7 linked regions of the Callithrix jacchus genome follow. The protein of the gene in region 2 purifies or fractionates together with the protein of the main gene of each other region. This does not show direct contact. Links are inferred from orthologs where the notes say so. Each region holds a gene or a part of one and is shown on either strand. Other genes may lie near its edges. The genes, in order: PPP6C, PLK1, ZC3HC1, TMF1, PRKAR1A, RANBP2 and ERCC6L.

What was found.
Region 1: the proteins of PLK1 (region 2) and PPP6C purify together in Homo sapiens (affinity purification with mass spectrometry; 4 studies listed by BioGRID and IntAct, with this or other methods). This does not show direct contact. The link is inferred for Callithrix jacchus from reciprocal best matches to the Homo sapiens genes PLK1 and PPP6C.
Region 3: the proteins of PLK1 (region 2) and ZC3HC1 purify together in Homo sapiens (affinity purification with mass spectrometry; 3 studies listed by BioGRID and IntAct, counting the BioPlex papers as one, with this or other methods). This does not show direct contact. The link is inferred for Callithrix jacchus from reciprocal best matches to the Homo sapiens genes PLK1 and ZC3HC1.
Region 4: the proteins of PLK1 (region 2) and TMF1 purify together in Homo sapiens (affinity purification with mass spectrometry; 5 studies listed by BioGRID and IntAct, counting the BioPlex papers as one, with this or other methods). This does not show direct contact. The link is inferred for Callithrix jacchus from reciprocal best matches to the Homo sapiens genes PLK1 and TMF1.
Region 5: the proteins of PLK1 (region 2) and PRKAR1A purify together in Homo sapiens (affinity purification with mass spectrometry; 4 studies listed by BioGRID and IntAct, with this or other methods). This does not show direct contact. The link is inferred for Callithrix jacchus from reciprocal best matches to the Homo sapiens genes PLK1 and PRKAR1A.
Region 6: the proteins of PLK1 (region 2) and RANBP2 purify together in Homo sapiens (affinity purification with mass spectrometry; 3 studies listed by BioGRID and IntAct, with this or other methods). This does not show direct contact. The link is inferred for Callithrix jacchus from reciprocal best matches to the Homo sapiens genes PLK1 and RANBP2.
Region 7: the proteins of PLK1 (region 2) and ERCC6L purify together in Homo sapiens (affinity purification with mass spectrometry; 9 studies listed by BioGRID and IntAct, counting the BioPlex papers as one, with this or other methods). This does not show direct contact. The link is inferred for Callithrix jacchus from reciprocal best matches to the Homo sapiens genes PLK1 and ERCC6L.

The regions. Positions count from the first base shown.
Region 1 is NC_133502.1:173,787,151-173,791,561, forward strand, and holds the start of PPP6C (serine/threonine-protein phosphatase 6 catalytic subunit), read right to left. Parts: upstream 3,015-4,411; 5' UTR 2,920-3,014; coding exon 2,845-2,919; exon of another isoform or gene 2,627-2,844; intron 1-2,626.
Region 2 is NC_133513.1:24,285,851-24,290,077, forward strand, and holds the start of PLK1 (serine/threonine-protein kinase PLK1), read left to right. Parts: upstream 1-1,140; 5' UTR 1,141-1,194; coding exon 1,195-1,587; intron 1,588-2,320; coding exon 2,321-2,489; intron 2,490-3,227; coding exon 3,228-3,372; intron 3,373-4,227. UniProt on the Homo sapiens protein: Serine/threonine-protein kinase that performs several important functions throughout M phase of the cell cycle, including the regulation of centrosome maturation and spindle assembly, the removal of cohesins from chromosome arms, the inactivation of anaphase-promoting complex/cyclosome (APC/C) inhibitors, and the regulation of mitotic exit and cytokinesis.
Region 3 is NC_133512.1:117,183,376-117,187,176, reverse strand, and holds part of ZC3HC1 (zinc finger C3HC-type protein 1), read right to left. Parts: intron 3,527-3,801; coding exon 3,283-3,526; intron 2,700-3,282; coding exon 2,487-2,699; intron 1,554-2,486; coding exon 1,347-1,553; intron 1-1,346. UniProt on the Homo sapiens protein: Required for proper positioning of a substantial amount of TPR at the nuclear basket (NB) through interaction with TPR.
Region 4 is NC_133516.1:50,857,904-50,861,704, forward strand, and holds part of TMF1 (TATA element modulatory factor), read right to left. Parts: intron 2,417-3,801; coding exon 2,313-2,416; intron 1,677-2,312; coding exon 1,550-1,676; intron 763-1,549; coding exon 657-762; intron 1-656. UniProt on the Homo sapiens protein: Potential coactivator of the androgen receptor. Mediates STAT3 degradation. May play critical roles in two RAB6-dependent retrograde transport processes: one from endosomes to the Golgi and the other from the Golgi to the ER.
Region 5 is NC_133506.1:124,607,813-124,610,306, reverse strand, and holds part of PRKAR1A (cAMP-dependent protein kinase type I-alpha regulatory subunit), read right to left. Parts: intron 2,459-2,494; coding exon 2,337-2,458; intron 1,463-2,336; coding exon 1,381-1,462; intron 1,034-1,380; coding exon 861-1,033; 3' UTR 1-860. UniProt on the Homo sapiens protein: Regulatory subunit of the cAMP-dependent protein kinases involved in cAMP signaling in cells.
Region 6 is NC_133515.1:20,366,160-20,369,960, forward strand, and holds part of RANBP2 (E3 SUMO-protein ligase RanBP2), read right to left. Parts: intron 3,442-3,801; coding exon 3,354-3,441; intron 1,306-3,353; coding exon 1,096-1,305; intron 1-1,095. UniProt on the Homo sapiens protein: E3 SUMO-protein ligase which facilitates SUMO1 and SUMO2 conjugation by UBE2I. Involved in transport factor (Ran-GTP, karyopherin)-mediated protein import via the F-G repeat-containing domain which acts as a docking site for substrates.
Region 7 is NC_133524.1:69,461,489-69,466,015, reverse strand, and holds the start of ERCC6L (DNA excision repair protein ERCC-6-like), read left to right. Parts: upstream 1-1,539; 5' UTR 1,540-1,613; coding exon 1,614-1,681; intron 1,682-4,527. UniProt on the Homo sapiens protein: DNA helicase that acts as a tension sensor that associates with catenated DNA which is stretched under tension until it is resolved during anaphase. Functions as ATP-dependent DNA translocase. Can promote Holliday junction branch migration (in vitro).

The sequences.
Region 1 (4,411 bases), on a different chromosome or scaffold from region 2:
TAAAATTACAAAAAATTAGCCGGGCACGGTGGCGTGTACCTGTAATCCCAGCTGCTCGGGAGGCTGAGGCAGGAGAATTGCCTGGACCCAGGAGGCGGAGATTGCGGTGAGCCAAAATCGCGCCATTGCACTCCAGCCTGGGTAACAAGAGCGAAACTCCGTCTCAAAAAAAAAAAAAAAAAAAAAAATACAAAAAATTAGCTGGGCATGGTGGCGCGTGCCTGCAATCCCAGCTACTGAGGAGGCTGAGGCAGAATTGCCTGAACCCAGGAGGCAGAGGTTGCGGTGAGCCCAGATCGTGCCATTGCACTCCAGCCTGGGTAACAAGAGCGAAATTCCATCTCAAAAAAAAAAAAGAAAAGAAAAAAAGAAAAACAAATAGAAGCAAAGTATAATGCAGTTGTGTTCAATAGGAAATAAAATGGTCTAAAAACTATATTTCATTAAGGTAAGAAGGAAATCTAATGTTTATCAAAGTAAGAGGTCCAAAGAAGTCCAACAGATTCTTTTTTTTTTTGTGAGATGGAGTCTCCCTCTGTCACACAGGCTGGAGTGCAGTGGCTTGATCTTGGGTCACTGCAACCTCCACCTCCTGGGTTCAAGCAATTCACCCTGCCTCAGCCTCCCAGGTAGCTGGGATTACAGGCACTCACCACCACGCCAGGCTAATTTTTGCATTTTTTAGTAGAGATGGGGTTTCCCATGTCGATCAGGCTAGTTTCGAACTCCTGACCTCAGATGATCCGCCCACCTTGGCCTCCCAAAGTGCTGGGATTATGCCATGCCTGAGACGTTATCATAAAAAAAAAAAAAACATTTTATTTATCATAAACACAAAGTTTAAAAAAGCTTTACACATGATAAATAAAAAGAAAAAATTCCAAATCAATTCACTGACATGCAATAGTCAACCTCACCTACAGGATTAATAATGCTACTAAGAGGTCTGGTTAGTTTTCCATGAATTGGATCCCAATGCTAGTTGTATTCTTATTCCAAAAAAAAGAAAAAAGAAACACGCATAGCAGAAAGAAGCCACAAAACAAATGTCTGAAGGACTGATGAGTATGTATGCTACATTGCTACTAATGAAGGCTCTATCCTTATTTTAAATTATCCTATTAAAAATGGGAGCATACACAAGAATGACTCCCCTATAATATGCTTCATAAAATTAACATATAAGTACAATTCAGTTACATTCACAACAGCATGTGTGGCCTCAAACATTATGCATACTTGTTGACTTATGTTAAGTATCAACTTCCAATACCAAAGAAGAAACAAACAAAACCCACAGTAATATATTTCTTGAAGAATACACTAAGATAAATAACTAGCACAAGCTGATAAGCACTGCTAGAAACCTAATAAGCACTGGTTTCACCAAATGCATAAACACTTTTCAAAAAAGCAGCATACCTAGGACGGGTGCGGGGGCTCACGTCTGTAATCCCAGCACTTTGGGAAGTTGAGGTGGGCGGACCAATTGAGGTCAGGAGTTCGAGACTAGCCTGGCCAACATGGCAAAAACCCGTCTCTACTAAAAATACAAAACAGCCGGGTGTCAGCCACCTACTCGGGAGGCTGAGGCAGGAGAATCACTCGAACCCAGGAGGCAGAGGTGCAGTGAGCCAAGATCGCGCCACTGCACTCCAGCCTGGATGACAGAGTGAGACTGTTTCAATAAAAAATAATGATGGAAGGGAGCGGTGGCTCACATCTGTAATACCAGCACTTTGGGAGGCCAAGGCGGGCAGATCACGAGGTCAGGAGTTCAAGATCAGCCTGGCCAACATGGTGAAACGCCATCTCTACTAAAAATACAAAAATGAGCCAGACGTGGTGGCATGTGCCTGTAATCTCAGCTGCTCAGGAGGCTGAGGCAGGAGAATCGCTTGAACCCAAGAGGCGGAGGCTTCAGTGAGCTGAGATCAAGCCACTGCACTTCAGACTGGGCGGCAGAGACTCCGTCTCAAAGAAAAATAAAATAAATAAATAAATAATAAGTTGAAAAGAAAAGCAGTATATCAAACTCATTCCTTTACCCATACATACATTTACTTGGACTCAAGGGCAACGAGGAACTCGTCTTCTTTAGAAAACCAAGAAAACGAAATCTTGAGTTAAGAAGGGGTTAAGGGGAAAGTATTTGTATTTATTAAGAACCAACTACTTTCTCCACTTCAGTAAGCTCAACAAAATACTCAGAAACGGGTTCACCTCTGAATTAGCAGAAGAAAACCCACGGTCCTAAAAGGCAATTTGGAGAAGGTGGAGGAGTGGCAGAGAAGAGGGACGATCTGACATTCGCTCTCGTCAGTACCAAACCACTCGGACCCACCGCCTTCCCCTTCCTCAGAGACCTAAACAAACTGGGGCCGCGTTGCAAGAGCCTGTGGCAACTCCTGTCAGACGCCGGCCACTCTGCGCTCCTGTCACCTCCAACGGGGACGATCCCATCCCGAGGGCACTGCCGCGGGGGCTCGGCAGTGAATGCCGGAGATCCCGGGAAGGGGTGGAAAGCTGCTAAGCAAAGCTGTTGCAGCTACGGGTCCTGGGGCAGCCCGAAGGCCAAAAGGGGCGACCCTGGGGTAGAGGCCGCGAAATCCCTTGGGATACCCACTGAGGCAACTAGGACATCATTTGGGGGACTTGGTTCCCCCAACCATTGGCGTGACGCCGGGTCGGGCCGGGTCGCATGGCATCGGAGAGGGCCCTCCACCGCGGAGAGACGGGATACCCGGCGGGGGTCCCACGAAGAGAGGAAGGGCGGGCCGGCGGGCGCCCCACAGCCGGAAGGGGCGAGCCTGTAAGCAGCGCTCCCGCCCCGGCAGGGCTCACCTTCAGGTCGTTCTCTGGCAGGTATTTGCACAGCCGCGCTATCTCCACATACTTGTCTAGGTCTAGCGGCGCCATTTTGAGAATAACAAGCCGCGGCGACAGCGGCGGGGTCGGCGGCGGCGGCGGCTGTAAAAGCAGCGGCGGCGGCGGCAGCGGCGGAGGCCGAAGCCGGAACTCTCCTACGTCACGTCCGGACCGTGAGTGGCGTCTGCGCAGCGCCGTTAAAGCGCGACCCGCTTCTCCCCGCTACCTCGGTACGCCCGGCGCCCCCTCTGGCTGAACCCCGGCTGCAGGCCCCAAGAGGCCCCCCCATCGGTCCAGCCTGCGAATTCTGATGGGACCCGTAGTCGCCTGCCGCGGGTGTTGCCGGGATTTGTAGTTTTCCGTTGTGGACAGCCACCCCTTTCTTTTCCTCCCCTTCAGTTCCTCCAGACTTTCACCTCCCGGCAGCGGGCGAGGCTTTTCCGAGGCAAAACGGCGGAGTAGGTCGTCCTAGCCACTCACTCGTTTCTCCTTCCAACCCTTTTAAGCACTCTCTCACTTTCACTTAACAACTGGGTAAGCCTGGCCGTAGTAACTTGTTTGCATCTTTCCAAGTGCCTGTGAAAACCTCGCTTAAGCCTGTGGCACAAATGTCAGGCTCCAGCCTGAAAGGAAGATAAAGAAATATTAAAGCATTTCTTGGCCGGGCGCGGTGGCTCACGCCTATAATCCTAGCACTTTGGGAGGCCGAGGCGGGTAAATCACGACATCAAGAGATCGAGACCATCCTGGGCAACAAGGTGAAACCCCGTCTCTACTAAAAATACAAAAATTAGCTGGGCATGGTGGTGGCGCCTGTAGTCCCAGCTACTCGGGAGGCTGAGGCAGGAGAATTGCCTGAACCCAGAAGGCGGAGGTTGCGGTGAGCCGAGATCATGCCATTGCTCTCCAGTCTGGGTAACAACAGCGAAACTCCATCTCAAAAAAAAAAAACATTTCTTATGCTAAATGCGATACAAATTCTATTTTTCCATTTAATCTTTGTAACAATTGGTAGGAAAGTGAGACTTGGAGGCTTTAAGTAGTTTACCCCAAATCTCACAGGGAACAAATGGTGGGGCCAAGATTGGAAAATGGCTTAAGCTTAAGCATACTTCCAGTGAGAATCCCACGAAGGCAGGGAGTTTTCTGCTGTGACTCCAGCACGGAGAACAGTACCGCATACCTTCAGTAGTTTATTCAACCGCTCTTTATTGAGCAACAAAGATGTACCAGGTACAGCTGCAGGCGCTTGGAATACTTAGTGAACAAAATAGACAAAGATCTCTATCCTATCTGTAGCTACAAAAACTACCAAATTTAGCCGGGGGCAGTAGTGCGTGCTTGTGGTCCCAGCTACACTGGAGGCTGAGGCAGAAGAATCGCTTGAGCCCAGGAAATGGAGGTTGCAGTGAGCTGAGATCGTGTCACTGCACTCCAGCTTGGGGGACAGAGCGAGATCCTCAAAAATAAATAAAATAAAATTAGTAAAAGGAAGCTGCTGTATGGGACTGGGGTGGGGGTGCAATAGCTCTAGCTAAGAGAT
Region 2 (4,227 bases):
CTTGAAGTCAGCAGTTTGAAACCAGCCTGGCCAACATGGTGAAACTGTCACTACTAAAAAAAAAAAATGAGCCGGGCCTGGTGGTGGGCTCCTGCAATCACAGCTACTTGGGAGGCTGAGGTGGGAGGATTGCTTTCAGCAAGCCAAGGTTACAGTGAGCCGATCGGGCCACTGAACTCCATCCAGCCTGGGCGACAGAGGGAGACTCCATCTCCAAAAAAAAAAAAAAAAAAAAAAGGAGGCCTAACAAAACCCCGCAAGACACATTGGCTATGACCTACGAGTTTGTTAGGCATTTTTCCAACCTTACCTCCCTTTGACCAAGAAACAGTGTCCTCCATTTTAGGCCCTGGGAAATTCAGCAGCGAGCAGGCCAGACAGCTTCGTTGCATCATGGGGGGCTCTGGTACTGTGCTTCTCCAACTTCAGGATGTGTAGGAATCACCTGAGCAGTCTTGTTGAGAGGCGGACTCTGACTCGGGAGATCTAGGGTAGGGCCTGAACATTTGCCTTTGTGGTTCTAACAAGCTCTCAGGTGATGGGGATGCTGCTGTTCCCTGGCCCCTCCTTTAAACAGCGCTGCTCCATAATCTTGAGGAGCTCAAAAGCAGCAGTTATTTGAAGGAGCAGGACTACAGTACTGGCCATGAAGGTATGTTTGGCAAGCACACTTTTACTTAATTTTAATTCATTTGGGGTGGCTTGGCTGAGAGCTGACAGCATCGGAGGCGAGTGTTAAGGCTCTCCCAAACTACTTTATTGGCGTGCCAGGTCCCTACTCAGCTTACATACTAGGTGGGGTGGAGGTGGAGGAAAGTCTAAGGAAAAGCTTAATGGAGGAGGCGCAAGTGAACTGCAGGAGCTTTCCCGGACGCCCAAGAAAGGGAGAAACCCTAAAGAAATTCCTCCCTTCTCGGGCCGGGTCTCCGTAGCCACGCCGGGTTTGGTTTCCCAGGCTATCCCACGTGTTCGGGTGTCCCTGTCAATCAAGTTTTCCCCGGCTGGGTCGGGGTTTAAAGGCGGCTGCGGGGCAGGGCGCTCCCATGGTTCCGCGCGGCGAGCGGGTTTGGATTTTAAATCCCCGCGACCAATCAGTAGCGCGCAGGCTTTTGTAACGTTCCCAGCGCCGCGTTTGAATTCGGGGAGGAGCGGAGCCTCTGCTCGGATCGAGGTCGGCAGAGCAGCTCCGAGAGCATGAGTGCGGCGGTGACTGCGGGAAAGCTGGCACGAGCACCGGCCGACCCTGGGAAAGCCGGGGTTCCCGGAGCTCCAGCGGCGGCCCCACCAGCGAAAGAGATCCCAGAGATCCTAGTGGACCCACGCAGTCGGCGGCGCTATGTACGGGGCCGCTTTTTGGGCAAGGGCGGCTTTGCCAAGTGCTTCGAGATATCGGACGCGGACACCAAGGAGGTGTTCGCGGGCAAGATTGTGCCTAAGTCTCTGCTGCTCAAGCCGCACCAGAAAGAGAAGATGTCCATGGAAATATCCATTCACCGCAGCTTGGCCCACCAGCACGTCGTAGGATTCCACGGCTTTTTCGAGGACAACGACTTCGTGTTCGTGGTGTTGGAGCTATGCCGCCGGAGGGTGAGTGTCGCTGCTAGGGAACTGGAATTGCCTGCGGGGCAGTTGGAGAGCCTGGACCTGGAGCAGCTGCTGGAAAGAGTGCCCAGGAAGGGAGTGCCTGGGACTTGGAGCTGGTTGAGAAGGGTGCTGGGAGCCTCCCGCTTAGGTATGGAAAGTGTCTTTGGTAAGGGCTTCTTGCCTCTTGGAACTGCTAGAAGAGTGGGTTCCAGTGAAGTGGAGTCTGAGTCAGGTTGCTGACCGGGAAGTCAGCTTCTGGACGCTGGGGGGAGGGGTGCTGGTAATGGACTCTAGGGCCCTAGAGTGCCCAGGGAGGAGTCCCAAGGTTAGTGAAGCCGCGCACTGGGAGCTTCCGGAGTGGGGTCTGGTCAGTAAGGAGGTAGTTGCAATCCAGACTTCGGTCCTTCCCGGGGAAATAAGAATCAGGAAAGGGATCTGCTGCTGGGCACTCGGAGCTTCCGGAATGGGGCTGAGAGAGGACCCCCAAGTAAGAGAGGAAGCTAGGGGAAGGGGTGCAGCGAATGGTTGTGAGTAGTGTTAAAGGAGGGTCCAGATAGCAATTGTCCTGGAGAATGGGGTGGGGGCTTAGGAAAGGAGAGAAACCCACCAAGACGCCACTTTGATCCGCCAGGAGTCTAGGTCCTGTTCTTCCTTTACCTAGTAGTAACCCTCTCCCTTCCCCACCGGCCTCAGCACCACCCTCCCATCCCTCCTGCCCTCTCCTTCCCACCCACAGTCTCTCCTGGAGCTGCACAAGAGGAGGAAAGCCCTGACTGAGCCTGAGGCCAGATACTATCTGCGGCAGATTGTGCTTGGCTGCCAGTACCTGCACCAAAACCGAGTTATTCACCGAGACCTCAAGCTGGGTAACCTTTTCCTGAATGAAGATCTGGAGGTGAAAATAGGTGAGTTGCTGAGCCTGCAGGGTGCTTGACATCCCTACAAGAGGCTGGAATTTGGAGGAGGCTGGGAGAAAGGATAGGAAGGAGACCAGGAGGAAGGAAGAGGATGGATGGTGAGAAGTTTGGGCGTTGATTGCTTCTATAATTCTCTCCTTTGTCCAGAAATTTAAAACAAACGCCCACAAGTCAGTATCTTGCCTGAAGACACATTATAGCCCCAATACAGGACTTTTTTTCAAATAATTTGAGTTTGTTTCTATTTTTTAAAGTGGAAAGCTTGACATAAAAATTTTGATTCAGAGCTCCTTTTAAACAGGTGAAAGCTCCAGTAATACGAGGGCGGCATTTTCTTAGGGCAGCCCATTGCTGGGCTGGAAAGCAGCTGTCCCTTCTGACATGTTTGCCAAGGTCTCTACTCCTCCCTATTCTTCACAGGCTTGCCAAGTCTTGGCGGTTACTTGCTTGATTCTTGAAGGCACTGGAGTTTTGCTGTCCCTGTCAGTTCCCATTTTGAAGCATAGCCCCTTTCTAAGGGGTAGGGTTGTGAAGGGTCACTGGAGGCACCTCCCTGAGGTCAGCATGGCAGGAAGATTTCTGGGCAAGCCTTGCGGCATACAAGGAGCAGAGGCTTGTGGGATCAAATGGCTCTGCTTCTTGATGGTCAAACCTTAACTAGCTTTCTGCATTGACAGATGGCAGAGGCTGGCATTTAAGTACCCATTCTTCCTCCCTCTGTCCCAGGGGATTTTGGACTGGCAACCAAAGTCGAGTATGACGGGGAGAGGAAGAAGACCCTGTGCGGGACTCCTAATTACATAGCTCCCGAGGTGCTGAGCAAGAAAGGGCACAGTTTCGAGGTGGATGTGTGGTCCATTGGGTGTATCATGTAAGTTGGGAGTTGTCTTTGGATCTGCCTGGTCTCAGCAGGGGCAACTTTGGGACATCCTACTTGGCTGACCTTTTCTATGGACCTTTCTGCCTGCTTTACAGAAAGCCTATTCTAGGGGACAAGTGACCCCCAAACGAAGCCTAATTGCTGTATCTTTCCCTGTCACTGGTGTATCCTATCAGATTTCTGCAGCCTAGGCCATGGGTACAGAGGAGGAGGAGGAGGAGGAGGAGGAGGAGGGGGAGGGAGGAGGGAGAGTCTTCACAGCCTTACTTTAGTCCTTTGCTAGAGTGGTCCACAGGGCAGCATCACCATCATCTGGGAACTTGTATGCGGAATCTCAGGGCCCAGACTACTTACTGGATCAGAATCTGGATTTTTAACAAATCCCTTGGTGATTTCCATGCACAATAAGGTCTTAGAAACACTGATGAGCATTAGCATGGTGGGAGAAATTAGGCCAGGAGTTACAGATGGCAGGATGAGGTGCCAGTGGTCCCTCTGGATTGAGACCATCAGCTGCGATTGGTGGCAGGCAGAGGCTTGGGCCTTTTCAGGTATTATCTTTGTTTTTGGCATAGGTACTAGAGAGTTAGAAATAAGTCATAGCGATGGCTTTCATGTGTCTTTGAGGTGGGTTTGTTTTTAATGAAAACTTGAAGCCTTAAGTACAGAACTGCTAAAGGTGGAGCTGCTTCTGTAAGTGCAGGTAGCCCTTTGACGTGTTTTGCAAGGCAGGCAGCCTCTGAGGCCCTTGCACAGAGTCCTAGATACCCTCAGGCTATAGCTGGAAAATCACTGGCCCTTAAGAATCATGGTCTTACCACATGTATTCTGCTGAGGGCTCTTTCT
Region 3 (3,801 bases), on a different chromosome or scaffold from region 2:
TGCAAACTTGGAAAACCTTCACCTGTATATTTACTAAGCGTACTAATACATACTTTTGGACTTTTAGCATTACTATAGTTTCCTCCAGTGGAATCCTGTAACCCTAGAAAACCATGAATCTACAAATGCTGCTCATAAATATCTGATGACAAGCATTATTTTACTTTGTCCTTGAAAGTTATAGAGGTCAGCAATTGTTACCAGCTACAAGGAAAAGCTGGGAGTGAGCCAGCCAAGGAGAGACCCAGTGTTTAGGGTTCCATATTGCCCAGCCTATCACTTCCAATCTTTACACACAGCAAACACTTGACTTTTCTTCTCAGTCGACACCCACATTTGTAACCCACAGCAGTCATGGCTGCAATGGCTAGTAGAGTCACAGTCTGGGCTGTGGAACAGAGTAAAGTAATGTGGCCAGCGTGCAGAATGAAGCCATCATCTTGGTGACAGAGTCCAGTGCTCCAAACAGCTAAGTTAACTGGCCAGGTGCAAGTGATGGCAACTGAAAGAAAAAGCAACTGTCTGCAACATGAGGCTGGAGCAGCTGCCTATTCATCTATTTCTGTTTCTGTACTCCTTTTCTACTTGGAGTCATTTTATTTAAGAGAACAAAAGAATTTATCAGAACTTGATGGAATGCCATATGCTAAAGTGCAGAAAGACAAACCAGTTCTACGCCTATTCCCAAGGATGAAAGCAAAATGAGTCTAACTTGACCTATTAGCCGGGCACAGTGGCTCACGCCTGTAATCCCAGCACTTTAGGAGGCTGAGGTCGGTGGATCATGAGGTCAGAAGTTTGAGAACAGCCTGGACAACACGGTGAAACCCCATCTCTACTAAAAATACAAAAATTAGCTGGGCATGGTGACGGGCACCTGTAATCCCAGCTAGTCAGGAGGCTAATGCAAGAGAATCGCTTGGAACCAGAAGGTGGAGGTTGTAGTCAGCTGAGATTGTGCCACTGTACTCTAGCCTGGGCAAAAGAGCAAAACTCCGTCTCAAAAAAACAAAAACGTCTTTGTGTAGTTTGTAGGAAAAAGAAAAAAAAGGAAAAAAAAAATTAGCTGGGTGTGGTGCCTGTAGTCCCAGCTACTTGGGAGGCTGAGGCGGGAGACTCACTTGAACCCAGGAGGCAGAGGTTGCAGTGATAGAGATCACGTCAGTGCATGCCAGCCTGGGCAGTAAGAGCAAAACTCCGTCTCACAAACAAACAAACAAAAAAACTGAAATAACTTGACATATGAAAGCTGAGGGCAGGCAGGGTGCTAATTATAGGACCAGCCTCTGCTCCTCCTCCCATAAACAGCAAGGGCTGTCCACGCACAAGGTAATAGCTTATCTCACCACAGAGTCTGTTTCAGCTGGCTGGCTAGACTGTTTGTGGGCCAACAGGATGGTCAGCACTGTCTTCCAGCCTGGCTCTGCTGGGGCGCTAGCATCTGGTTCAGTTCCACCATTCTCCCTGCCTTCTTTGTCAAGTGTGATATTCACCCAAGGGCACCAGTCTCTATGCTGAGAGGTGGGATCAAAGAAGCTTCGGGAAGATGTGTCCTGAGGAAGGAGAAAAAGAAATAGCATTCATGGGCAGATGCTATGTAAGTTCAGGGAGGCACTGCTATTAGTCATCAAATCCAGAATCTCACAACTACCCATACTTCAAGTGTTTATGCTCTCCTTTAAACTCTGCCAAGATATTTTCCTTATTTTTTCACTCCTTTCGTGTTAAACAAACTATACCTTATCACAAGGGATAGGGGATACCCCACCCCCAGGCCATGGACGGGGACCAGGCCATACAGCAGGAGGTGAGCAGCAGCCAGGCAAGGAAAGCTTCATCTGTATTTACAGCCACTCCGCATCCTTTATTACTGCCTAAGCTCCACCTCCTGTCAGATCAGCAGCGGCATTAGATTCTCATAGGAGCAGGAACCCTACTGTGAATTGCACACTTGAGGGATCTAGGCTGCTGGCTCCTTATGAGAGTCTGACACCTGATGATCTGTCACTGTCTCCCATCAACCCCAGAGGAGATCATCTAGTTGCAGGAAAACAAGCTCAGGGTTTCCACTGATTCTATATTATGGTGAGTTGTATAACTATTTCATTACATAAAAAGTACACAATACATGTAATGTGCTTGTATCATCCCCAAACCATCCTCTAAACTCCGGTACGTGGAAAAATGGTCTTCACAAAAACGGTCCCTGGTGCCAAAAAGGTTGGAGACCACTGCCTTATCAGGTTTGTCCCCGTATCACACTGCTGCTCCATTTGCCTGAGATATCTATTATTTCTCCAGAAGCTACCCCAAAGGAGCAAATGACTGACATTTTTTCCCTTTGGTCACCCAACTTTAAACTTAGTCACATGGTCTACTTTTTGCACTGGACCATGGAAGGGCTCATGCCTGCTTCTCCAAGCTGCCCAGGGAAATCCCAACATGCTGTCTATGTTCAGCCACTGCTAGATGCGAGGTGGACTCACCGAACTGCTGGAGGAGCAGAGGCGAGCTCGCTTGGCCTTCCGAAGAGGGCTAGATGGTACCTCCAGGCCAGGGGTGTCTCCTGTTCCCATGCTTCGGGTCACTGGGCGGGTTCTGGTGGTGGGGCTAGCAGCCTCTGGCTCAGGACGGTCAACAGGACTGGAGGAGTCCCAGCTCCGAGTTCGAGAGACAATGGGACCAGGGCTCTTTTCAGCCTGAAGGAAAGGGGAGATAATGGAAGTACGAAAATGATATTAATGATCATGGTCAGAGATACTTCTTTATTTAATCTTTTTTTTTTTTTTTTGAGACAGAGTCTTGCTCTGTCACCAAGGCTGGAGTGCAGCGGGGTGATTTCTGCTCACTGCAACCTCTGCCTCCCAGGTTTAAGTGATTCTCCTGCCTCAGTCTACCAAGGGCTGGGACTACAGGCCCCACATCATGCCTGGCTAATTTCTGTATTTTTCATAGAGATGGGGTTTCACCATACTGGCCAGTGTGGTCTCAAACTCCTGACCTCAAGTGGTCCGCCTGCTTCAGCCTCCTAAAGTGCTGGGATTACACCATGAGCCACCACATCTGGCTGAATTTAGCTTCTCCATTAGTGAACAGAAACACCACGTGGCATTGTAACCAGTGTAGTGCAAAGTGAAGCCTATCTCCCTAAATTAATTTCCAACTTTCTAGCAACAACATTTTTGCCAAGAATGTTGTTTCAAAGTCCACCCCAGTTCAATTCATTCACTTCAGAAGACAGTTAAAAAAAAAAAGTCCACCCCAAACAAGCTAAGTGCATACCTGCTCTGAGCCTGGGGAGAAAGTGGCATCCTGGCTCCGGGTCATCATCCTCCGAGGAGATTCAGGCACCAGAGGGAAGCGCTCTGGCCGCCCCTCAAGCCCTGGGATAGGGGAGCTGGTCAGGCCAAATGATGTGTCCAGATCAGCTATGGACGACTCAATCTGCTGGAAGCCCCAGAGCCCCACCTTCCTCATACACTGCGAACATGTTATCAGGCAGAGCTGCATGGGTTCCAAAGAGGAACTAGACAGAAATGAAAAAGAGAGTTTTCTCAAAGTGTCATATTTCCAAATGACTAAGTGTAATGTCTTGTGAGTATGTTTCATCTCATCCAATTTCTGGAACAGTCCAGTGGACGGGAACCATGTCCTGTCAGAGCCTTTGTGTTCCAATCTCAGGACCCCAGCTTCATGCTTCATCATCTCTCATGTATTTCCCATAGAAGGACCTGGGGTTCTTAGTGTGCTCTCTATGGTGAGACTGTTTTGCAGGCATGTTTTAAAAATTTCTCCTGTCCC
Region 4 (3,801 bases), on a different chromosome or scaffold from region 2:
CCCAAGTAGCTAGGATTACAGGCACACACCGCCACCACCCAGCTAATTTTTGTATTTTTAGTACAGATGGGTTTTCACTATGTTGGTCAGGCTGGTTTCGAACTCCTGACCTCAAATGATCCACCCGCCTTGGCCTCCCAAAGTGCTGGGATAACAGTCATGAGACACCACACCCAGCCAACACTGTTAATTTTAAATCTTCTCAGAGACAAAAATTCTTAATAATTTAAAAATTAAGAATACAATGAAAAATTCACTATCAAATGCCAGAACAATACAATATCATACAGAACCCAAGCTAGGTATTCAGATATTACCTAAATCCCAGAATTACACGCTTTGAATATCTTGGGTTAAATGACAGGCTCTTAAGACCTGTTGACAGTTTTTAGGGCAGCACAAATTTTTGTCTATTTTACTAGGGTCTTACTTTTTTTTTTTTTACTCCCTAAAAACAAAAGCTACAAACACATATCTCTGTCTCAACATATCTTCTTCCTCATTATTTCACAAACTGTTACCTACTATTTCTATAGTTTAAGTCCAAATCCTCCTTGCTTTCAGTATTTTTAATTAGGAAGCATCAGCTAGGTATGTAGCAAATACTTTTCCTATTTTTACAATATTTTCTATAGTCAACTAAATACTTTACGCACCTTCTTCCATTAACCCTCGGATCTGCTCATCTTTCTCTTTCAAAAGGTCTGCAGTTTCACTACTATTTAATCTAGTGGCAAGTTCTTCTTTTATGTTTTTGATTTCCTAATAAAAAAGAAATCTGTGAATACCATAAAGAATTACTTTCACTCTAAGAATAGTTCTCATTTTTTTCCCCCATCCAAAGAAGCTATCCATAATCACATTCTCAATAAGAATCTGTAAGTTTTGTTCAATTAATCTACTACCTTGGTTAACTAAGACTGAGAAAACAGCTTTGAAAATGATATACAAAACCTAAATCCAGATATATAAGCAAGTTTTAATATGAAAACATAAATGAGCATATATTAACTTTCCTTTTTTTTTTGAGACAGGGTCTTACTCTGTTACCTGGGCTGGAGTAGAGTGGGTACAATCACGACTCACTGCAGCCTCAACCTTCTGGGCTCAGGTAACCACAGGCACATGGCACCATGGTTAGCTAATATTTGTATTTTTTGTAGAGATGGGGTCTCACCATGTTGCCTAGGCTTGTCTTGAACTCCTGGGCTCAAGCAATCTGCCCTCCTCGGCCTCCTGAGTAGCTGACTACAGGCGCACACCAGCATAACCAGCTAACTTTCTGCATTTTTTAGTAGTGGCGGGTTCTCACCATGTTACCCAGGCTACTCTCTACCTTCTGGGTTCAAGTGACCCATCCACTTCATCCTCCCGATGTGCTGGGATTACAGGCATGAACTATCACACCTAGCCAAAAATCTACGATTTAAATGTTAATATATGATACCCTTTTTACCTTGCTTTTCTTTTTTTCCACTATCAAAACATGATGAATGTACTCCTCAAAAATCTCTTATAGAGTTTAATATTATTTTTAAATTTCTATTACCTTTTTAGCAGCATCCCTCTCTTTGCAGGCTAGCTGAACTTTCTTTTCTGCTTCTGCAATTCTTTGAGTAAACTCATCTTTCAAGGAAGAAATGCTACTGCTTTCTTCTTTCACTCTGAACATTTCACTAAATTTAAAACAATATTTGAGAATTGAGGATGGTGTTTATATATCCCAAAGGTACACTTGAGTTCAGTTCTCAAAAGGAAGATAACTTTTCTCTGACATATACCTTATTAAAATAGAACAGTTATGGGACTATTAGAACTTTTAAGAAAAAAATAAGGACATTTCCCTTAAGTTTGTTTTAAAATACCTCAAAGAAAACCTTTTAGAAACTGAAAATGTTACCAATATCTGACATGCAAAAATAACAGAAAGTAAATACAGTGTCTCAATTCTGAATCTTTTTGTGTCACATTTTCCCAATCAGCTCCTCATAGTAAACCAATACCCAGTATTTTCTTAAACTACAATAACACAGTTTTCTTTAAATACATGTTTTAAATCTGTAATACTGAAAGACTAAACATGAACGGAAAGAGATTTGCAGTTTTTGCAAAATGACTCTCTTCAATGCCAAAGGTAATATGGTAAAGACAAAGCAGAAAAGTAATCTTTAAGGTTATAACTGAAATCCTATACAACTTTCAATAATGATAAAATTACAAAACATTTTAATTTCAAAAAATTCTTAAATATGTACAAAGTATACAGACCTCCAGAAAATGTGTAACATTATTTACATTTGTAGAATACTTACTCTTTCAGGTTATCATAAGCTTCTTCTAGAAGTGCTTTTTCCTTACTAAGAGATAATAACTGAGCCTCCCTTTTTTCCAGTTTTTCATTCAGAAATTCAACTGTCTGGATAAGGAGAAAACCAAAAAGTCAGCGCACTTAGCTTTAAAAAAGACAATTTCTACATGTAGGTATATCACTATAATAAAGAAAACAGCTTTATCTCATAAAAACAATTAAGAACAATATTAGGAACACAGAGGATGCAGAAAAAGAAGTACTCTTAGGCAGGGGATAGGAGAGTACAAGTAAGTACAACCAAAGAGCTAGTGGGAGTGTAAGTTGAGAAACCACTTGGGAAAACAATTAGGTAATATCTAGTTGGAGATCTATATACTCTTTGATATAGAAAATTTCACTTTTAGGTAAACTTTAGAGGAGAAAATTCTTGCATAAATGCACTAGGTGACGGGGATAAGAATACTTATTGTAGCTTCCTGGTAATCGCAAAAATCTGGAATCGTCTGCATATACACCAAAAGGAGAAGGGAGATGGATCCAATCAAAAGAGGTCAAAGAGAGGATTTAAAGACTATCTTAGCTAGGTAGTGGATATACAAGTGTCTGCTTTCTTTATTATTCTTCACCTGAAACATGTACCCTTTTCTTAGTATGATATGTTGCATTTAAAAAACAGAAGTCCGGGTTCATGCCTGTAATCCCAGCACTTTGGGAGGCTGAGGTGGGTGGATAACCTGAGGTCAGGAGTTTGAGACAAGACTGGCCAACATGGTAAAGCTCTGTCTTTACTAAAAATAAAAAAACTAGCCAAGCATAGTGGTGGGCAGCTATAATCACAGCTACTCAGGAGGCTGAGGCTAGAGAATCACTTGAACCCAGGAGGCAGAGGTTGCAGTGAGCCAAGCTCGTGCCATTGCACTCCAGCCTGGGTGACAAGAGTCAAACTCTATCTAAAAATAAAATATAATCAAATAAATAAATAAAGTAGAGGCCAGGCATGGTGGCTTACACCTGTAATTCCAGCACTTTGGGAGGCCAAGGAGGGCAGATCACTTGAGCTCAGGAGTTTGTGACGAGCCTGACGAACATGGTAAAACTCATCTCTCTCTACAAAGAATACAAAAATTAGCTGCTCATGGTGGCACGTGCCTGTGGTCCCAACTACTTGGGAGGCTGAGGCAGAAGAATTACTTGAACCTGGGAGGCAGAGGTTGCAGTGAGCAGCACTCCAGCCTGGGAAACAGTGCAAGACTCTGTCTTAAAAAATAAATAAAATAAAATAAAATGAAAGTAGGGCTGGGCACAGGTTCATGATTATAATCCCAGCACTTTGGGAGGCCAAGATGGGAGGACTGTTTGAGCCAAGCAGTTCAAGACCAGCCTAGCAACATAGTAAGACCTCATCTCTAGTAAAAATTAAAAAAAAGAAAAAAAAAGCCAGGCATGGTACAAGCCTGTAGTCTCAGGTACTAGACAGGATAAGGGGGAAG
Region 5 (2,494 bases), on a different chromosome or scaffold from region 2:
GCTCTAAATTAATAACCAAGATTGTAGACCTCAAATTCTTATTCTCAAATCAGCATCTGATCAATATTTGGCACTAGCTGGATAAAGGTCTAATCCAAATTTGTAAGCCAAGGCAGATGTAGCTGAATACTAACCCAGTATTTATAGTCTATGATTTACTTTCAAACTTAAAAGGCAGGTATAGATAGCCACACCTAAAAGAATTTCAGAATTGGAGAAGAAACATTAATAACAAGATATAAATAAAACCAGGCAGATTAGCTTGGCAAACAAAAATTCTGGTTAAAAATGAAAAAAAAAATTGAACCAATCATAACCCATTGATAATTAGCAAAAATGGGCCTTTTTGCACCCTTAGTTTAATTACAGACAGATGTCTTTCTACTATACTAAGATTTTCTATATCCATTTTCCCTAATCTTTAGAGCTTAATGAGAAACCATTTATTCTACAAAGAAATACAGCATATATGGCCACAGTCTATGCTTATAAATGGAAAATTACGTCACTTTAAAAAAAAATCTTGCACTGTTACATCATTACGCTATGGTAATTCAACAGGTGCTGGGATCAGCCCTCACCAAAAAGCATGGCACTCACTGCCCAGGTTGAATACTAACACTGCACAAAGAGCAGCAGTAACAGCAAAGTCTCCATAGAACTCTATTTATTTAACTGTGTATGAGCATTTAGTTAATGCTCCAAATTGAAAATGGTGCAAAGCAACTTTCAATACATAGACAGACAGGAAGCTGCGATGCCAGTGGCCATTTGGCGCTGCAAGTAGGGAAAATAAAGCAGTCTGCATGAGTGAAGCATGGATTGGGGAGAGAAGAAAAGGGAGGCACAGGAGGCAGATTTCAGACAGACAGTGACACAAAACTGTTGTACTGCTGGATGTTTCGTTTGAGGATGTCTGAGCATGGGCCAAGAACACGTTCAAATCTAGGTCGGTCCAGCTTAACGCACTTCAAGGGGCCACGAGCAACGACTGTGGCAGCACGAGGACGATTCATCAGTAGTGCGATTTCACCTGGAGAAAGGAAAAGAGGAAGGGTAAGGACAGGCTAATTTCTATGAAAAACATTTCCTTAAAGCAGTGCACTTCTGAGAAAAAACACAAATATTTATTTCTCTAATAACTTAGTACAGGGCACACCACATCTACACTTAAAAAACAAACTAGTAGATATGAGACAATCAATAATTTCATTAACTGAGTAAAGATCAAAAAATCTCACACTATATCTCTCAGAGCCAAAAGAGACTGCAATAAAAAAATAAAATTCAGGAAAAGACAAGATTATGGAAGACTACAGTATCTCACTGAGAGGTGATTTAAAGAAACCATGTATTTATTGTGAGGGAATTCATACATACCAAAATAATCAGAAGGCCCCAATCTTCCCACTTCAACAAACTCTTCATTTTCTGACCGTCGTTGTAGCACAGCAGCTGACCCCTACAATAAAATCACCAAAAAGCTAAACAAACACTCTCAAACCCAAGGTGGCATCTTAAACATCCTATGCAATTTTAGCTATCTTGCAAAAATGGGGGGGGGGGCGGTCAATTCAGTGGTTATTTCCATTTACATACGAATGAGATAAAAAAAGGACTTTAAAGTTAGTCACCACATGAGCTTCAATTTCTATTTTACCAGCATCTCCTGCTAGCAAGGTTCTTCAGACTTGGGTTAGCAAACTGTAGAGGAAGGGCTAAATCCAAGTTCGCTGTCTCTTTTGCAAATAAAACTTTATTGGAATACCACATCCATTCATTTACATATTATTTGTGGCTGCTTTTGCACTACAGCAATGGGTCCACAAAGCTTAACTTACCACCTGGTCCTTTACAGTTTCCTGACCCTTGGTTTAAATAAAATCAATTAGCAACTATGGAGCCACATTCATAGATATCTGTCACGTGGATCTGCTTGGCAAGCAAGAGTACCTGCTATACATTTCCATGAAATGTGAAGATATAAAAATACAGGAATTTTTCAAATTTAAATAATTACATTTAATCCTTATTTGCCAAATAGCCCAAATACTTGCATTTTAACAAGGATAGTACAGAATCATCACAGTATGTTGTTAAATGGCTTTCAGAATTTGGCTATTCATGTCTAGGGCCTTTCAAGAATTCTGACTCAAACTCATTTAAAAATGTAGTGACCTGGCAGAAAACCAAACAACAGCATTTCAAAGTAAAAGATAATTTTAAAATAAATTTGTAAGGTATTCTTAAAAACTAAAGCTGTAATTCAGAATTAGCCCACTCTTTCCCTCTATGAGTGTACAACTTTTTAAAGTATCAAATTCCGAGTTCTTTACCTCTAAAATAATGAAAAACTCATCCCCCGGTTCTCCCTGCACCACAATCTTCTGTCCATCTTCAAACTGCACTGGTTCCAATGCATCAGCTACCGTAAGACGTTCCCACTTGTCCAGAGACTCTAAAAGACAAGAATCAAAAGAATTGCTCTGTATTA
Region 6 (3,801 bases), on a different chromosome or scaffold from region 2:
TATAGTATAAACAACTATTTAGATGGAAAATACAGCCAGATGCCATGGCTCATGCCTATAATTCCAACATTTTCTTTTTTTGAGACAGAGTCACTCTGTTGCTCAGACTAGAGTGCAGGGGCCCTACCTTGGCTCACTGCAACAACTTCCACCTCTTGGGTTCAGGTGAATATCCTGCCTCAGCCTCCTGAGTAGCTGAGACTATAGGCACATGCCACCACGCCCGGCTAATTCTTGTATTTTTAGTAGAGACAGGGTTTTGCTATGTTGGCCAGGCTGGTCTCAAACTCCTGGCCTCAGGTGATCCACCCGCCTCAGCCTCCCAAAGTGCTGGGATTATAGGTGTGAGCCCCCATGTTGGCCCTAATCCCAACGCTTTGGGAGGCTGAAGCGGGAGGATCCCTTGAGCCCAGGAGTTCAAGACTAGCCTGGACAACAAAGTGAGACCTGGTCTCTACCAATTAAAAAAAACTTATCCGGGCAGAGTGGCATGTGTGTGTGGTCCCAGTTACTCAGGAGGCTGAGGCAAAAGAATCCCTTGAGCCTAGAAGTTTAAGGTAGCAGTGACCTACGATCCAATCATGCCATACACTCCAGCCCGGGTGACAAAGTGAGACCCTGTCTCAGAAAACAACAAGGCCAGTCGTGGTGGCTCACAGCTATAATCCCAGCACTTCAGGAAGCAGGGATCACCTGGGATCAGGAGTTTGACACCAGCCTGCCCAACATGGCGAAACCCCATCTCTACTAAAAATACAAAAAATTAGCCAGCCATGGCGGCGGACTCCTGTAATCTCAGCTACTCAGGAGACGGAGGCAGGAGAATCACTTGAACCCAGGAGGCAGAGGCTGCAGTGAGACCAGATCGCACCACTGCACTCCAGCCAGGGCAACAACAGAAAAACTTGGTCTCAAAAAAAAAAAAAAAAAATACATGCCACCTCCACAGCATCAAATTTGAACCCCGCCTCCTGCCACCCAACCCACACACAAAAGGAATACAGGAAAATATTAAGTCATTATTTCTAGGTAATAAGATTATGGAAAACTTATAAGGATTAAGATGTAGAGTTTCCTTTGAAACATGTAACTTACCAACATCGTATCTAGCCAAATCTTCAAGCTCTGGTTCTTGTACATCAATGTTTCCAATATCATCACTACCAAGAAAAGATCTATCCTTAGGTGACTGACTAGAAAACAGAGCATCGTATAAAGCAGATTGCCCGCTTTTATTGGCAAAAGATTCGACAACCTCTTTTAAAAAATCTTGCTTGCCACGACTTAAGTTTAGCAACATGTGCCCTGAAAAACAAATTATTTCCATCACTTTAAAAATACAGATTGTATTGGCCCACACTATTTGTATACCCAAAGGGAAAATAACATGATTATCGCAGACCTAAACCTCCAACCCAAAAAATACAGATGGACAACAAAAAGGGTGCTTATAAAGAAAATAAATAGAGTACAGGTTTAATATTATCCGTATCTACATAAGACAGCAGAAGGGAGAAAAAAAGACAGAAACATGTATGAAAAATGCCAAACATATTTGCATTTTAGATGAAAAGGTTTGGATTTAAGTGGCCATAGGAAAGCAGCGACAACAAGCTCTTACTCTCCGTTCTGATATACTGATTTCTAAACCTAGCTGATCACAATCCTTCTTTAAACAGCTTTTAAGAATTATTTCCAGGTTCCGCTTCCAGAGATTTTTATTCCACAGGCTCGCAGTAAGTAATCTAAAAATCACTGTCCTAGGATAAAGTACTGACATATGCTACAACACAGATGAACCTTAAAAACCTTGCTAAATGAAAGAAGCCAGTCACAAGAGATCACATACTGTATGATTCCATTTATGTGAAATGTTCAGAATAGGCAAACAGAGACAGAGACAGATTAGTAGTTGCCAAGGCTGAGAGGTTTGGGTAAAATGTGGGCTGACTGCTAATGGGTAAGGAATTCCTCATGGAGTGATGAAAATGTTCTAAAACTGATTGTGGTTAACAACTGTACTACTCTTTGAACACACTAAAAGCCACTGAATTGTACACTTTAAATGGGTAAAACGTACGATATCAGAATATTTCAATTAAACCGTTTTTTAAACACCCTCCTTGGAGTTAATTCTGCTGGCCAATCAATCAGGTTTGGTTACCACTACACAGTTGTGTCAGCATGCTCACAGAGGGCACCCTCGGGATGCCCACATCAGACATAAAAAAATATAGGCGATTTTTTTTTTTTGAGATGGAGTCTCGTTCTGTGACCAAGGCTGGAGTGTAGTAGCACAACCTCCGCCTCCCAGGTTCAAGTGATTCTCCTGCTTCAGTCTCCAAGTAGCTGGGATTACAGGCACACGTCACCACGCCCAGCTCATCCTTGTATTTGTAGTAGAGACGGGGATTCACCATGTTGATCAGGCTGGTCTCAAATTCCCGACCTTGTGATCCTCCTGCCTCAGTCTCCCAAAGTGCTGGGATTACAGGCGTGAGTTACTGCGCCTGGCCAGGGATTTTTATCTAACTGTGACATCCTGCAAAGGCACTAAGAGAGCCCCGCAAGGGTAGAAGGAAAACAGAAAAGGAAAAAAGTAGAAAGACACTTTAAGGACTGAAAGTCTAACTCCCACCAAAAAAAGTGGGCTATGGAATAAAAGAGCAATGTGAGCTTTGGCCAACAGCCTAACCATACACCAAGGCTTATAATAACTTTGATTTAATACTACATCTTGCTCTTTACAAAATTCGTCCAATTTTATATCAAAACATTATGTTTCTTCAGTTCAGTGCTTGATTCACTGGCTACCCGACTACCTTAAAGCTCGTATCTTAGCAAATCACAGGTAATTTGTAACGGACCTTTAGGATTCATCCCAATCAGCCAAAAATGAGAAAAAAAACTACAAATTCCAAGAGCCTAATACAAGGTAAATATGTATCTTCTATCTTCCTCACTAAGCTCTCAGCTCTTTAAGACAGATCCGTATCTTCATCTTTATATTCCCACAGCAGTGCTTTTAGAAGCAGCTGGTGTTAAACGGTTGACAAATCAATAATTATACTTCAGAAAGTGATGAAATATTCAGGATAGAGGCTGTAGCAGCCAGATAAAGAAAGATTTAAGAAATCCTCTCCACCTAGGAACAAACAATATAAAATATTCATTTCTTTTAAAGAATATACTATTTCTTCTCATCTCTTCCACACCTATTGCTCTTAACTGATATGGCAAAAGAAATGATTTTGATAAATTATCTCCTGGACAGACAGAAGATTTTATCATAAGACATGCCTTAACAGAAATTTACCTTTTTTCTTTTTAAATTAGTTTAACATTACCATTACCTGATTGGCTCAGACGGTCACAGGCCATCATTTCCAGCAGATTTTGTCCAGCTTCTCCTTTTATTAATTTAAGCTTTGGTCTTGGAACCTAATAATTTTAGAATCAAATATCTTAATTTTATGATACCCATCCTTCTAATAGTAAGACGGTCTTTTCTATTACACTGTACTTTTTTTGATAATAAATTAACACTTAACCATTAATTAAACTGAACTGGAAAAGACTACCAAAACTGGGAACCAAGGAATTTATATAACCTATGAAAGATAGGCCAGGCCAGGAGTGGATCACATCTGTAATCCCAACACTCTGGGAGGCCAAGTCAGGCAGATCACTTGAGGTCAGGAGTTCAAGACAGGCCTGGCCAACATGGTGAAACCCAGTCTCAACTAAAAATACAAAAAAACAAACAAACAAAAAAAAACCCAAGTGTGGTGGCATACACCT
Region 7 (4,527 bases), on a different chromosome or scaffold from region 2:
GCTCTGCCTTTGAAAATGACTGTATCTTAGTTGGTGCTTCTGAAGAAATGGTGACTTCTGAAGAAATGGTGACCACAGCACAACTTCTTTCTTTCTTTCTTTTTTTTTTTCTTTTGAGACGGAGTCTCACTCTGTTGCCCAGGCTGGAGTGCAGGGGCACGATGTCGGCTCACTGCCACCTCTGCCTCCCAGGTTCAGGCGATTCTTCTGCCTCAGCCTCCCGAGTCGCTGGGATTACAGGCAAACGCCACCATGCCCAACTAATTTTTGTATTTTTAGTAGAGATGGGGTTTCACCGTGTTGGCCAGGCTGGTTTCGAACTCCTGACCTTGTGATCTGCCTGCCTTGGCCTCCCAAAGTGCTGGGATTACAGGCGTGAGCCCACGTGCCCAGCCTTTGTTTTTTGTCTTCCTCTTGTTACACCAAGTATGTAAACCTAACTACTTATTTCTTAAATAAGAACTTTAATTTTTTTTTTTTAGTTGGAGTCTTGCTCTGTCACCCAGGCTGGAGTGCAAGTGGCACAATCTTGGCTCACTGCAGCCTCCACCACCCAGGTTCGAGATTCTTGAAGACCGTTCTCTCTCTCTCTTCAAAATAAATACAGCATAACGCCCTGTGGAAAAGAAAAAAATATTAAAAATTAAAAAAAATAGAGACTTCACTATGTTGCCCAGGCTGGTCTTGAACTCCTGAATGCAAGTGATATTTCCCTCCCCTTCCCCGCCACCTCGGCCCCCCCCCCCACAAAGGGCTAGGATTACAGGTTTGAGGCACTGCGCCCAGCCTTTTTTTTTTTTTTTTTTTTTTTTTGAGACTGGATCTCACTTTGCCACCCAGGCTGTAGTGCAGTGGTGCAATTGCGGCTCACTGCAACCTCCAACTCCCAGGTCCAAGCGATTCTCATGCCTCAGCCCCGAGTAGCTGGGACTGCGGGCGCCCGCCATCACGCCCGGCTAATTTTTGTATTTTTAGTAGAGTCAGGGTTTCACCATGTTGGCCAAGCTGGTCTCGAACTCCTGACACAAGTGATCTGTCCGCCCCAGCCTCCCAAAGTGCTGGGATTACAGGCGTGAACCATCGCGCCCGGTCGCTTCTTCAATGTGAGTTTAAATCATAGAGACTATGCCTCCCAGGGTGTTTGAATTCAAAGCACGCTCCGTGCCAGGTACTAGTGATCAAGGAATAGAGGATATCTGTGGATGCGAGGCGGGGTTGGTTGGGGGGACACAGGCGGCGGAGGAGATCTCCAGGTGTTGCTACAACGACTGAGACCATACTGGGAAGTCTCCTCCACGCACAGTGATGGAACACGCACGCGCAAACGAATTGGTCGCAGCATGGTTTGAACTGGGTTAAAACGCGAGGCGCCACAGAGTGACGCAACACACTCAGTGTGTTGCAGGCAGAGATGGCCTCCTATCTCCCGGCGCGCGTTTATGGGCGGGGTTCAGGCGGTGGCGTCGTAGCGTGCGGTAGGGGATTGGCCAGCCGCGAGGCCGACGGTTGACTGCGTCCCTTTCCACAGGCTCAGAGAGCATGCGCAGGGCGGCAGTGAGCGAAATTCAAGCTCCAAGCTCCTGCCGAGGTAGCTGGAACCGGATTCGAGGGTCATGGAGGCGTCCGGAAGGTTTCCGGAAGCCGAGGCCTTGAGCTCAGAGCAGGCTGCTCGTTACCTGAGGTATGTTTGGGCTGCTGGGCGGGTTTAGCTAACCGACCTGGCCTAGGGCGGAGGTGGGGTGGCCCCCCCCCCGTATCCCTCTGGGGACTGAAACTGCTGAGGCGGAGCCTTGTGAGACGCGTGCTCACTCTCTTCTCGCAGTAGGGTGTGGTAGTAAGCTCTGGATGTTTGACCAGATTTCTAAAACTTGGGGAGACCCCGATGCCTCTCCTTTTGGGCAAATGACCCTCTGGTATGAGCTCCTTAAGAGCCAATGCTTTAATCAAACCTTTCTTGATTCTTTTCAGTTTATCAAGGCCCAAATCTAGGGGATACAGAGATGAGTAAAACAAGGTCCCTGCGCCCCAGATTGCTTGTAATTTAGTAGTGGAAACAGATCTGCGAAGCGATAATTACTATATTTAATAAGTGCTGTAAGCGGTATAAGGTACGTGCAGGGCATCGTGTTGGCATAAACGAGGGGATGGCCAACTACAAGAGTGGTCAGCCAAGGGATGGAGTGGCAAGAGGAGACATTTGAGCTGTGCGTTGAAAAATGAGTAAACATTCAGCAATTGGCTAAGGGTGGGGGGGCATGGTAATGTTGGGATGAGCATTTAAATTTTTTCTTAAATTGTCGTAAAGTACACATAACATAAAATTTTTTTGTGCAGGAGATGGGTTTTACGGAAAATAAAATGTATCACCTTAACCATTTTTAAATGTACAGTTAGTACTGTTAACTGCATTCATATTGTGCAACTGTCCATCACCTCCAGAACTTTTTTTCCATGTGGCAAAACAAACTACTCCCATTAAACAACTCTCCATTTTCCCCTCCCCTCAGCCCCTAGCAACAAGTATTCTGTCTCTATGAATTTTACTACTTTTTTTTTGAGACAGGATCTTGCTCTGTCCCCCAGACTGGAATGCAATGGCCTCATTATAGTTCACTGCAGCCTTGAACTCCTGGGCTCAAGCAGTCCTCCTGCCCCAGCTTCCCTAACAGCTGGGATTATAGGTGGGTGCCACCATGCCCAGCTAATTTATTTTTTATTTTTTTAAATTATTTTGTATATATTTTTAGAGACAGGGTCTGGCTCTGTCACCCAGGCTGGAGTGCAGTGGCGTAATCTCTAACTCGGCTCACTGCAACCTCCATCCCCCCCCCCCCCCTTGGGCTCAAGTGATCCTCCCACCTCAGCTTTCCCAGTAGCTGGGACCACAGGCGGATACCACCACACCCGGCTATTTTTTTTTGTACTTTTAGTAGAGATGGCGTCTCGCCATGCTGCCCAGGCTTGTCTTGAACTCCTGAGTTCAGGCAGTCCTCCTGCCTCAGCCTCCCAAACTGTTGGGATTACAGACATGAGCCACCATGCCAGGTCTTTCATTCAGATTTTTCCAATTGTTTGCCATTATACTTTTGTTGTAATAGGCAGCCTTTGTGCACTTTTTAACTGAGTATACACTTTGGAAGTGGGATTGCTGGTCTTAGGGGATGTGTATTTAAAATCGCTATTCAAGAAAACCATGCCAGAGTTTAATAAAATCAATAGTGTGAGTAAGAATTTATTTATAGGGGCCGGGCGTGGTGGCTCAAGCCTGTAATCCCAGCACTTTGGGAGGCCGAGGCAGGTGGATCACGAGGTCAAGAGATCAAGACCATCCTGGTCAACAAGGTGAAACCCCATCTCTACTAAAAATACAAAAATTAGCTGGGCATGGTGGTGCGTGCCTGTAGTCCCAGCTACTCGGGAGGCTGAGGCAGGAGAATTGCTTGAACCCAGAAGGCGGAGGTTGTGGTGAGTCGAGATCGTGCCATTGCACTCCAGTCTGGGTAACAACAGCGAAACTCCGTCTCAAAAAATAAAAAAAAAAGAATTTATTTATATTTTCTCAGGCTGGTGTGTGATGAGCTATATGAGTCAACTCAAAAGTTAAGATACATAGTTTTACTTTTGAAACCAGAACTTCTAGTATTTTCTTCTACAAATATACTACACGAGTGGGCAAAGATGTGTGTGCGTGTGGATACAGTAAGTCCTCACTGAACATTGTCCATAGGTTCTTAGAAACTGTGACTTTAAGTGAATGACATAGTAAAACCAGTATTTTTCTCATCAGTGTTGCAGTAAAATGATACTGAATGAACCAGTGTTATTCAAGGGCCTGCTATGCATCATCTTGCTTAAAGTTGCAGTTGCCAAGAACCTACTGACCATGTTAACTGAGGACTTACTGTGCATATAAACATATACTACAGGTGTGTGCCACCAAGCTTGGCTAATTTTTAAAAGATTTTTGTAGAGATGGAGGAGTCTCGCTGGGTTTCCCAGGCTGGTCTTGAACTCCTGCACTCAAGTGACCCTCCCACCTCTGGCTCTCAAAGCACTGGGATTATAAGCGTGAGCCACCACACCTAGCAGAATCATACTTGCTATTACATTTCCATTATTAACCACCATTTAAGCATTCTACTCTCCAACTTCTACCTTACTCCCTCTAGTACACCTATTCCAACAGCCATTTGATGTCATTGGGACCTGTAGTTCATTGATTGCATCTTTCACTGTTGCACACCCCTCAGGTTCTCAAACTCTCTCTCCTTATAGAGTTTGAAGTTCAGAGTCAAATAACTTCCTCGTATACAACTTTAACTTATTTTTTTTCTCTTTCACACTTCATTATACTGGCTTGGCAAGACCGTAGCCTTCATGTGGTAAGTAGATTAATGGCCTCCTGAGGATCTCCACATACTTTCTGAACCCTGTGAATATGCTACCCTCATATGTTAGAGAGGAATTAAGGTTGCTAACTAGCTGACCCTAAAATAGGGAAATTGGAATATCTTGGTGAGCCCAGTG